2 linked regions of the Nothobranchius furzeri genome follow. The protein of the gene in region 1 interacts with the protein of each later gene in a biochemical or structural test. Links are inferred from orthologs where the notes say so. Each region holds a gene or a part of one and is shown on either strand. Other genes may lie near its edges.

Region 1 (6,116 bases):
CGAGGCTCAACAGATCCTTTCATGATCTCAGACTACACACACGGTGAGACTGACACTGACTTTGACAGGTTTAGTTGCGCTGGACAGGCTGACTGAGCCCAGACCCCTCTCTCCTGCAGGAGGATGGTACACTGGCCCCACCTATAAGACTCAAAATGTGTTTGTAACCAACTCTCTGGAGATCTTTGAAAAAATGTGGGGTATGTGCAGTAGTGCCTGCAGATCAGGCTGGATACATAGGAACACATGTTACTCTTGCATTTCAAGGAAACCCTTTGTGAACTGTTGATTCCATTTTTGTACACTCTGAAAATTAATAAATAAAAATAAATTCCACAGTGAAATATTTAGTGGACAATTGGTTTAGGACAATACTAAAAAGTCTATGGATGCATATTATGCAAAACTCAGTTTTTGCATCCTTTTGTGGGTATCTACTGCCTCTATAGGCCCCTAAATGCATGACATCAACTGTTCAAGACCCCCCCCCCCCCCCCCCCCCATCTAATGACTTGTATGCCTTTGTAACCTGGTAAATTGGTTTATTTTGACATAATTACACAAAATGTGTTCTGAAATTGGAGCGGGCAGCCTTTAATGTAATTTGTTTTGTGTTAACTGAGCTGTCGATTCCTGTTTGTCGGCGACAGAGTAAGACCATCAGCATGTGATTCCCCCCACCTCACAATGGGTGGTGGTGGTAAATAATATTAAAATAAATAGGTAAATAATTAAGTAAACAATAAAAAATAGGTTTGTACATAATGGAAGTGCACATTTTGCGGACTGCAGTTCCTCGAATGGCCACATGGTGTGCTCTGCAGCATTCTCTGTAAACTAACCAGTGCTGCTTGAAAGAGACAGAGCCCTGAGACTGCTCATTCTGGAAGGTACTGAAACTGGCAAGAACAAATTTGTTGAGATTGATTTATGGGATGGGGATTTAGAGCAAAGAACTTCATAAACACTTTGCGTAGACCATAGGACTATTATAACTTCAAAAACTGTCAAGACCCCTTTAAAGCATTTGCATATTGTACAGGATGAAGCAGTACAAATGTTGTTTGACCAATGATAACCACATTCGTCTCTCCTTCAGTTTTCCCGGAGCGAGTAGCTCTGTACTTCGTTTCTGGCATCTGTGCTGGACTGGTGTTCCTACTCTGCCTGTTTGGAATTCGCTCCACCATAGTGAGAGATGTTAAGGATCTGGTTTCTGACCTGAATGATCAGATAAAAGCATCACGCAGAAAGAGGAAGGAGCTCATAGACAACCTCTTCGATGAAGAAGTCTCAGACACCTCCTCCTTCTGTCGCCTCACACAGTCTTACCGTACAACAGATGTTCTCAGCCCGTCAGCTCTAACAATGGAGATGGTTGATGTGCAGCAGACGAGGGATTTGCCCATTGGAGACATCTGGCCACACCTGGACTCTAGTCCTTATGCAATTCACAAAATAAAAACCTATAACAGTTGTGTGAAGCCATATCCGGTGATTTAAAAGAGCAGAATACACACAGAGAGATATTTGATTGAATGTCACCTAACTTACACCTCTCTGAATTAACTATGTTCATAATGTAAAACACACAATAACAAGGAGTCATTGTGCTCTATTCAAACTACTATTTGTTCAGATTTGATTTGAACAAGTATGGTTTTATCCACAATGACATTTATCTTCTCTGATTTAGACTTTCTTTGTGTAAAGGAATGGACAAGGCTCAGATGAACTCTATCCATTTGATTGACTTTTCTTTAAAATATTCTGTTTCATAACTGTTCATTCTGGTGTTAGTCTCAAACAACTCCACAATAATAAAACGTTTCCAAGGAAACTGACTGAAAAGTTTTTTTAATACTCTCAACTGAATCTGTTTAATATGCAAGAAAAAAATCAAATATTGTTTTTTAAATATTTGTGTCTGTCTTGGACAACGTAATTTAGATTTTTAAGCAGAAAATATAAATAATTTGCTATTAGTTTGAAGCATTTGTTTTTGCGGCATGAAGTCGCCGGGTGTCTGTTCATCCTCCAGAACACTGGGGAGCGCTAAGTACCTTCATGCGAAGGAGTGCACTAAAATTGAAGTCTGATGAAGGCGAAGAACGACTAGTCTGGGTAGCTAGCTAGGGAGCAAACCCTGGGAGTCTTCGAAGTGTAGCATATCTGTGTGCTACAAACCACCCGATAACGTTATGTTGTCCGAGGGGTTTGTCTCTTGACACCGAGAGGGACACGAGAGAAACTGAACATTCTCATGTTTCTGACAGAATGATGGAAGTTATCAGGGGTTGTTTTAACTCCTAAATTCCATTAAACGTTTGTGAGACCTTCCAGCGGCAACAATAACAACAGCTGGCTAAAGGAGCGGTTAGCCAGCTTCCCGGAAGGAGGCCGCCACAGCGCCGGGTGGAGATTTAACTTTTTTTTTGCCTCAACATCTGCTCAACGTAAAGACCCTAAAAGTGATACGTATTTATTTATCTTGGTAAGAATGGAGTCCACGCTGGGGATTTGCAACGAAGAATGCTTGGCAATATCCTTAAAGTTGTGTTTGAATTGTATACGAGTTAGCGAATGAGTTATGAACAGCTAGCCATGTAAATACAGTTGATCAGAGGGCTAATTCACTAAACCGTTGTGAGATAGCTACTTAATGTTATTATTCGGGCTGATTTAAGAAAGAATTTTCTTTTCCACAAAAGCAGTGACACATCATTTATTGTGGCGACACATTTAGTTAATACTGGATAATTTCACCCAGTTTTATTTACCTTTCTTGTTATGTATTATGATTATGTAGCATCACATTCTATTTGCGATTATCCAGTGGTTGAAGTCACAGTAACAGCTAACACTAAGAACTGCTAAACACGGAGGATATGTGTAGCTTGTATTGCTAAAATTGCTTAGATACATATATTTTTGTTCTTTGCCGCTCCTCTACTGTACTGATGGGCTCGGTCAAACCCTGAATTCTTCCTTTCACGTCTGTGGATCTAGTGATCTAAGTCTCCGTTTTTTTGTGGATTGATCTGGCCCAGGTTTCTCCTTTTACCCTGGTTATGAAAAAGCCTCCAGGCTCAGGTTTCAAATGTTGTTTGTATAAAACAACCTGGTTTAATATTTGCCCCTGTTAGATTTTTGCTGCCACTGGCACTATTCTTTCTCTCTTATTTCACGTTGTTAATGCTTGTCATTAATTTCCTTCCTGATTTTCAGTTTGCATGGCTTCATTAACATCTTTCTTCAACTGAAGACAGACTTATTCATAATGATTTTCGAACACTGTTCCGGTAGTACTGGGTAACAGCTGTAGTTGTGATATCTCATCATCCATCTCAATGATTCCTTGATTGTGCTGCTCAAACTGTAAAAGCTCAGGAGCTGAGGTCTGGCCAGAAGGAGTCCAGGTTACTGTCACTAATTGAACACAATGGAGAGTTTAAGTAAGTATCAGAAATAACAATTACTGAAAGTATGTTGACATTGGGTTGTCCCAATGTCCCAAAGCTGTGTGTTTGTTGCTGAATCGCTTAATAACACAGTAAGGTGTTTTGTTTTATTATTGCTCCTGTTTAGTTTTGACTTCATTCAAATGAAACCCAAGTTGTTGAGAGCTGTCTTTGTCAGAGGAAGCTGCAGTTGACCTGAAGTGTGTGACCTGAGCAGAATTATATGGGTATACAGGAGCTGCTTCATCAGTTAACCTTTAACAAGTTACTTTCCTGTTCCATAATCAAAAATAGAGCTCTTAACATTCAATCGAGCTGTTATCTTGTGTTTTATGAAGTTCTTAAACACACTTTGCACTAGACTGCTGTCACACTGATGGAATCTTAAAATGTGCAAATGAAAATTCAAGTTATTTTGATGTTGACCGGGATAACCAACATCGGTCTGTGTTTTCTATCCTGAATGTCAGATTTATTTGTCTTTTTGAGTTATCTCAGGCTGGTGGCTATTTTAAATCCAGGATGTTTAACTGAATGAGCATGCCCCTTTACACACACACACACACACACACACATACACACACACACACACACACACACACACACACACACACACACCACTCTTGTCACTACACAGATTAGCTCTTAGGTGTAAAATAACTGGATGCCATGTGGGCAGAACGTGGTTTCTGTGAGCTGGACAGCTCCAGGGCTTATTTGGTGAAAGGAGACTTTGTGTGTAGACAGTAGGGAGATGTTTAATCATATGTGTAGCTTGGAGTTACTTTCACCAGCAGTAACCTCACTGCAGATTATCCAGAATTCCTTCACTTCATCTTTAGCTGTAATGAGACTCACATGGGCACGCAGGCTGCAGGCTGCAAGCCCACACAAGCCACCAAAGAGTAATGTCATGAAGAGGGAAAAAACCATTATGAATGTTTCAAAATAGACATGATTTATTTTAAATGATTGAAAGATTTTGCATGACATAAGGCATTACCTGAGGTTCATACCAGTGTTCTGTGCCTTCGGTGTGTTTTTCTGTGGTATTTGCTTTTATGCACTTCTGTACATTGGCTTGGGATACAATCAGTACCAGTTTGTGGTACACAAATTATGGGATTATTGACACAATAATCTGGATAAAACAGACAAAACTGGAGGGTTTGTCACGTCAGGCTCTAAAATGTACAAATGGAGAATAAAAAAAACCATTTTGTTTCCTGTTGAATATTCTGTTGCGTTTACATCGGAAGTTCTCATCCTGACAGATTCGGGAAACTGCTTCTGACACATTTTGCCCAGCAGTCCTGAATAATTGTCCTCTCCACTATAATCAGACCAAGTGAAGGGGAAGAGTGGGCAGTGAGTGCCCAGGAAGACTCTTTGTCCTCTGCTGTTAGTCAGATGTTAGTGAGCACAGGAATGTGACCCTGCCTACATAAACCTACATCATGCTTCTGAAGCCGTTTGTGTCAACAGTTTGATAATTTAACACTTTAATCTTCTTTATATGCTCAGTGGATTTGTATTGATTAACTGAATGATGCACAGTGCTTGCTAGTTATTGTTTTTGTTGTGTGCCACTAAAGAGAGGTTTTGCATGTGTGTTTTTTCAATTTCTATTGTTCATGATAATTAAAGCACATCTTGACTCCATCTTCTCTGTTCTAATGTTAAGCACCCTGCATGAACGTCAGTGCTAGCAGCAATGTTTTTTATATATGTGCTTTATGTTTAAGATGGAAAATCTTGATATTAAAATAAACAACAGTTGTGATAAGGCAGAATGCTTGCTGTTTCTACACAGACTGGGTGTTCTGGCCAACCCTGAAGCTGTTGTGTCCCGTCCGGTGGCTCAGTTGTCCATACCCATTAATGATAAATTTGAAATTGTACGAGGTATGTGGCTTTTCTCCATGTCGGAGTCAAAATACTTACAGCTTTTCCTGTGTATGTTGGGTGTAAATAAATGTTCAAAAAATGTTAGATGCTGACTCTAATTTAAACCAGAATAAGTAAAATAATCTGGGATTAGAAGTATAGTAGACATGCATAGCCTTACATTTTAAACCAGTGGACGTTACATTCTCGCTGTGTGTTAGAAGCTTCTGCTTTTCCTTTGCATATGAAAGTAAACACAGAACAGGTAGTGCTTCTTGAGATAATTTATAACACCAGTGGGCCACTCCCACTCCAGACCTTTGAACTGCACTATTTAAATTTTTATTCTGTTTCCCTCAGAGGCTGAAGAGGCCTTGCTCATTGACCTCTCCATAGATTGTGAGTACTTTTGTGTTAAAATCAAATATATGTAGTCATCATTGACTTTAATATGTGTTTTTTAGCACCGTTCCATATTTTATCTTCCAAAAGTCTTGCCAATCAAACAGCGCTGCCTTTTTCCAGCCGTATGGCATTTTAGAACGTTTTTACAACCAAACGTCTTTATCTAGGAGCATACCGGTACTCCATTCACGAGTTGCCATGGCTTAGTGAAGACATGCTGAATAGTTTTACTGTTGCGTCACTTTGCTTTGTTTCAGACACACTGTATTTCTTGTGTGTTAGTGAAATCTGTAGGTGCCTGACATGTGTGTGTGTGTTTTCTGGTTCTAAAGCCTGTGTTAGAATACAAATCAAAGGAGAAAA
Region 2 (5,649 bases), on another chromosome or scaffold:
ATGTTTTTCAACTGATTTTCCATCACGTTTTGAACCAGAGCCACTCAACACTCAGTGTTATTGTTAACTGAGTTTGAAGATGAGGAGATGCATCAAATACATCAAGTCTTATCTGAGAGTTTGGATACGTTTTGATTGCTGCTCACTTAAATTTCTTCTTTGGTTTTTAACAAGTAGCGAAAAAGTAAAGTTGCAGAAAACACTTAAGAAAAGTTCTCCCTAGATCCATGTTTCTGGGGCTGTGGCTGTTGGTGTGCTCTTAACATTCTAATATTGAGTTTTAGGACTTTTCTTCATGCATTTTCTATCATTTTTGGTTTTATGCAACAAAAATATCCAAAATAATTAGATAAAGTTGCAATGTGTTTGCTTTTATGTACGTTATTACACTCAAAAGAAGAGAATATTCTAGATGTCTTGGAGATTCATTAGATGGATGGTTTAGTGCTCTGTTGGGGATGGTTGGGGGGGTAGGGTGGATAAATGGGGAGTTACCTAAGACTTGCAAAATTTGCTTACTGCATGGAAAAACTAGTTCAAGCATTTCCTGGATGTGTGTGAAAACAATATCTGGAGACCTCTGTCTTTAGGTCTTACTGAGGTCTAAGACAGAAATGTTGAGTTTTAGTTTTAATAATGGTGTTGACTAGAGTTGTTATGGCGATGTAGTGTGAGATTTCACCCAAGAGCTTATGTTTGTTTTGCATACGTGGATGTCAATGAAGGGAAAAGATGATGGATGTTTGTGCAGAAACTGTTTTACTGGAACTCTTCCTCATATTAAAACAAATGGTAATAAACCCAAAACTTGTGCAGAAATAAAATGACTTGTGAAATTGGCTACAAACATCACATTTTCGCCCCGTCTGCAGCGTTTACTGCTAAGAGGAGGGGCACACACTGAACAAGTCACCAGTCCGTTACAGCGACACGGGACAATCAACTAGTCCTCTAGATACGGCTGGGCAATAAATCAAAAATGTATTCATCCACCCATCCATCTTCTGAACCCGCTTTGTCCACGCAGGGTCGCACGCGGGGGTGGGGGTGGGGGGGCTGGTGCCTATCTCCAGCAGTCAACGGGCAAGTAGGCGGGGTACACCCTGGACAGAGAGCCAGTCTATCGCAGGACAACACAGACACACAGAGACAAACAACCATGCACACACACTCGCACCTAAGTACAATTTAGACCAATTAACCTAACAGTCATTTTTTTGGACTGTGGGAGGAAGCCGGAGCACCTGGAGAGAACCCACGCATGCACAGGGAGAACATGCAAACTCCATGCGGAAAGATCCCAGGCCGGGAATCGAACCCAGGACATTCTTACTGCAAGGCAACAGCTCTAACCACTGCGTCACTGCGCAGCCTTCAAAAATGTATCATTATCGAAATTTCTGACTCTTATCGTGATAATTTTTCCCATGTCAATAAATTAGATGATAAGAAAAATGAAAAGATGTGTGTAGGTTTGCAGCATTCATGTACCTTTTAAGAAGCTGTACCACCTTTAGTCACGTAAAAATGTGACTCAACTTAATACATGTGACAGCGCCATCTAGTGGACAACTTTTATTTCTGCGCACACCTGTAGTTATCGTCCATTTATCGAGGTGAAATCCTTAATATATTGTGATACTGATTTTAGGCCACATCACCTAGCCTTACATCTAGAGACTATTTAGAGTGAACAGTTAACCTAACATGCAGGTTTTTGTTCTGTGAGAGGAGTGCTGTGATTGGCTGGTGCTGCCGAGGTTCCAGTGGAGTGTTGCTAGACCGTCATTCAAAGCAAAATTATTTTTGCTTTGAATGACGGTCTAGATTCTAGGCTAGGTGGTTTTAAAATAAGGAACTCATTTTAAGTTGACTGCCATATCACTTCACCTGAAGAGATGGTTTTATCCTTCAGGTAGCCCTTCCCTGCAACAACAATCCACCAATTGCTGAGATAAATACTCTCGTTACATACTTAGGTATTGTGCATGTGCAAAAATATTTGCACAAACCTCTGAACACTAGGCCTCATGGTGGCACGGTAGGTAGCTCTGTTGCCTCACAGCGAGAAGGGCACAGGTGCAAACATCAGCTGCTGCCTTTCTGCGTGGAGTTCTCCTGTGTGGGACTTTGTCCAGGTGTGTGAATGGCTGCGTGTCTTTACGTGTCCCTGTGATGGACTGGGGACCTGTCCAGGGTGTCCGCCTCTCAGGTTGCTGGAATTAGAGACCAGCTTCCTGCAACCCTACTGGGGAGAAGAGCTTGTATTAAAATTTTACTCTGCGTTTTGCATATTTTCACCTGTATTTGCTTCCCTCAGTCATCCTAAGTTATTGTTTTTGTTTAGTCTACTTTGATGTTTGTTTGGTCTTCATTCTAATCGTTTATCTTATTTTTTATGCCCTGGCTTGGCTTGAGTTGCAGAAATCAGAATATGATATTGTCTCAATTGACAACAAGTCTTCAATATATGATAAATGTGTTTTTACTAACTACCGTAAATTATTGTTCCTGTTTTAGTTTCACTCATTAGCTCCTATGTACTACAGAGGATCAGCTGCTGCTGTCATCGTCTATGACATAACCAAACTGGTGAGTTTAACATCTCTTAATTAAATTATGCTAATTAGCGGTTGTATGATCAGGCGTCTGCATCCTCGAAACCAGATGAACAAGTGAATAAATGGTTTGGAGCTGAAGCTGAAGGTCGTTTTCCTCCACTCTGAGATGCTGTGTGCATCCATGACCTACAAATGTCATTCTTTCCTACTCGGCTAATGGAAACTTGTTTAAAAACACCAGTGCTGTGTGATGAGTTAATAAAAATGCTGGGCATGTTCTCAAAAGAAATGCCAGAGCCGACCACGCTGTGTTCCTGTCATTCAGGACTCTTTCCAGACACTGAAGAAGTGGGTTAAGGAGCTGAAGGAGCACGGCCCAGAGGACATCGTTGTAGCTATCGCAGGGAACAAGAATGATTTAGGAGACATCAGGTGGGAGGAGCTGTTTAGTTCTACCTGTCTGGAGATCATTTGTGTCACCTGTAGCTTTTAACAGTCCACTCTTGAGTCAGTTGGATTCATGCAGGTTGGAACATTTTCTTCACATGCCGCTTGGCTCTTCTTCTGTTTTACAGGGAAGTTCCTATGAAGGAAGCAAAGGAGTTTGCAGAATCAATCGCAGCTATTTTTATTGAGACCAGCGCCAGAAATGCCGTCAACGTCGAGGAGCTGTTCCAGAGAATCAGTAGGGTTTTTCATGCTGTTGCTGCTTTCTCTCCTCGGTTTATGGAAGTATATTCCAGGTGTCCTCAAACAAAAGCTCATCTCATCACTCAACGCAGACGATCATTTATAAGCATTACATTCATCCAGTTATTTATAGACTTTCTGTTTTTCTTGATGACTTGGGTGTGTTTCCTGATTTCCGGGCATATCGTTCTCAGATTTTTGAATTTCAGACTCTAATCTGCTCGCATGTTTTCCTTTTAAAAAGAATCTTCTCATTTTGTTTTGTTTTCACACCAAATTACTGACTGGAAACAAGTTAAACTGATTATTGCAACATCTGAAGTCCACTGCCAGTCTAGGAAGCTGTTTTTTCCAGACTGTTGTTTTTACATCCTTTGGTTGCTTGTAGATCTCATAAGATTTCAGCTGAGTTTTGAGGTATAGAAACTAAATTGCACAGGAAAAGCAGCAGTGCATATGTTAGCAAGTTTTATATTATGTCATTAAAAAAAACACTCAAATTAAACAATTTGTTCTGCAATTTTAGGTAAACAGATTCCGCCTCTGGAAAATCCTGATGTGGAAAGCAATGATTCCTTTAAAATCACCCGGCAGCCTGCCTCCACGGCCAGGAGGTGCTGTTAGTACCAGAAGTTATGGATAGTCAACTTACATCATCACGCAGGCGGAGCACATAGTCCACGATGCACACAGAGTCTTCAGAGTGACAACACGTGGATGGTCTGAGGTCAAAAACAGGATGAAACAACCTCTGCTCCAGCGCCATGGAGGTCAAAGCAACAGTTCCTGCAAGCACGTTTCCCTGTGACTTAAAACCTTCAGTCTGTCTCCCTCCAGTGGCGCTCTGACTGAATTACATGCAGTTGTCCATCTGAGAACATCTCCAAAATATAAAACATGCAGCTTTGTTCCATTTGTGAAACAAAGGGCAAATTATTAGCGTGAACACTGCATTTTTAGTGGTTTGGATTAATAAATCAGGTTTGGAGGTTTGTGCAATTCCATTTAGGCCTCTGGAGTCACCAGCTATTCAGAGATGAGCTCTGTCATTTAAAGTCATAGTTCAGTACTAATATTCAACATTTCCACGATCCTTGGATCGTCGGCGCAGAATGTTTTAAAGTAAGATGTAAAAACCTTAGGTGTGCGTTTCACGTGCACTCGTTTATTTCCGTTGTTTAGCTGCGGAACAAACTGTTAAAACGCTGAAATCTTAATCACATCATGACATCTAACTGCTGCAACGGCGTGACCAGTGTTAGTTGTTTACATAATGGTTTGATAAACATGTTTTCTGTTTGTTTGAGAATTGGCTACAGCAAACAGCAGCTAAACTTGGAGTTTGCTTGTATTTACTGTTTAAAGAGCAGACAGTAATTTACAGCAAATAAGTCCAGTTCGATGAGATAGTTTTTGTACTACCTGAACTCTGTGTTAATAGGACCCTAAACTTTGGATCATGTATACAAACAAAAAATATGTACTTTAAAAAAAATGTTAAACACTTTTTTTCTATCTGAATGTGCTGCAAAGTCAAACAACTTATTTTTTTTATCAATTTGTGGGATGTAATAATGAAATCTCTTATTTATAGTAAAATACTTTATAAACGCCCATCTATGCTGATGTTAGTGTGGACAGTTTACACCAAAATCCATTCATTAATTAGCCAAACTGTGTTTCTTCACTTGGAAAACGTTCAACACAAACCTCTGGAAGCGAGATTGGCAGTGACCTTTCGCTCGTGGTTTTCTAGACTCATCAGATTTTATTCTGAGTAAATGTCAGACTTGTGACTACGGTGTTTCCCCGATGTCTAACAGTTATTCCCCTAAAGCGATACGTGAAAGTCACCTAAAAGCTGAATGTTACACTTATGGACATGCTCCTTTGTTAAAATGCTGTTTAGATTCACACATGTGTCTTTTTTATTGTTTCTTAAAAATGTATGACATGGCTAAAAGTGAATATCAGCTTTTGGTGCAGTCTGACGGTACCCATATCTTTAAAAGTGCCTATAGTTTCCATTTAACCTCATTTGTATGCAAGTATTTGTTCTCATGTATTCTGTGTAGAAGTCACTGACATTGTAATAAAATTATAATCGTACTCTTTCTTCTAGTTTTCATCATGCCTTTATTTTTGAAGGACATAAATTAGAGGCATGTCTAAAAAGATTACAATCCTATCTAATTGATAAAGCAATATGCCAAAGATAAAATGACGGTGCATCAGCAGCCAGTACAAATTTTATTAATGAAATAAAACCCCTTTTCTAACTATCACGTAGATCTTTAAAACTACGATAATCAGGTGACATAACAAATTAATGGAAATTTCAACTCATTTGGATTAAATTGTAGCCAAATTCAAATATATCAGCAATATTAAAGCGTCG

The links. The genes of interacting proteins can lie anywhere in the genome.
Region 2: the proteins of ocrl (region 1) and rab31 form a complex in vitro, tested with the Homo sapiens proteins (2 studies listed by BioGRID and IntAct, with this or other methods). The link is inferred for Nothobranchius furzeri from reciprocal best matches to the Homo sapiens genes OCRL and RAB31.

The regions. Positions count from the first base shown.
Region 1 is NC_091741.1:85,247,144-85,253,259, forward strand, and holds the start of ocrl (inositol polyphosphate 5-phosphatase OCRL), read left to right. Parts: upstream 1-2,323; 5' UTR 2,324-2,500; coding exon 2,501-2,541; intron 2,542-3,374; coding exon 3,375-3,455; intron 3,456-5,274; coding exon 5,275-5,366; intron 5,367-5,708; coding exon 5,709-5,747; intron 5,748-6,085; coding exon 6,086-6,116. Other genes in the region: si:ch73-335m24.2 (protein eva-1 homolog C), read left to right, coding at 1-43, 120-200, 1,100-1,503. UniProt on the Homo sapiens protein: Catalyzes the hydrolysis of the 5-position phosphate of phosphatidylinositol 4,5-bisphosphate (PtdIns(4,5)P2) and phosphatidylinositol-3,4,5-bisphosphate (PtdIns(3,4,5)P3), with the greatest catalytic activity towards PtdIns(4,5)P2.
Region 2 is NC_091751.1:42,854,378-42,860,026, forward strand, and holds the end of rab31 (ras-related protein Rab-31), read left to right. Parts: intron 1-2,520; coding exon 2,521-2,592; intron 2,593-2,886; coding exon 2,887-2,993; intron 2,994-3,136; coding exon 3,137-3,246; intron 3,247-3,777; coding exon 3,778-3,875; 3' UTR 3,876-4,615; downstream 4,616-5,649. UniProt on the Homo sapiens protein: The small GTPases Rab are key regulators of intracellular membrane trafficking, from the formation of transport vesicles to their fusion with membranes.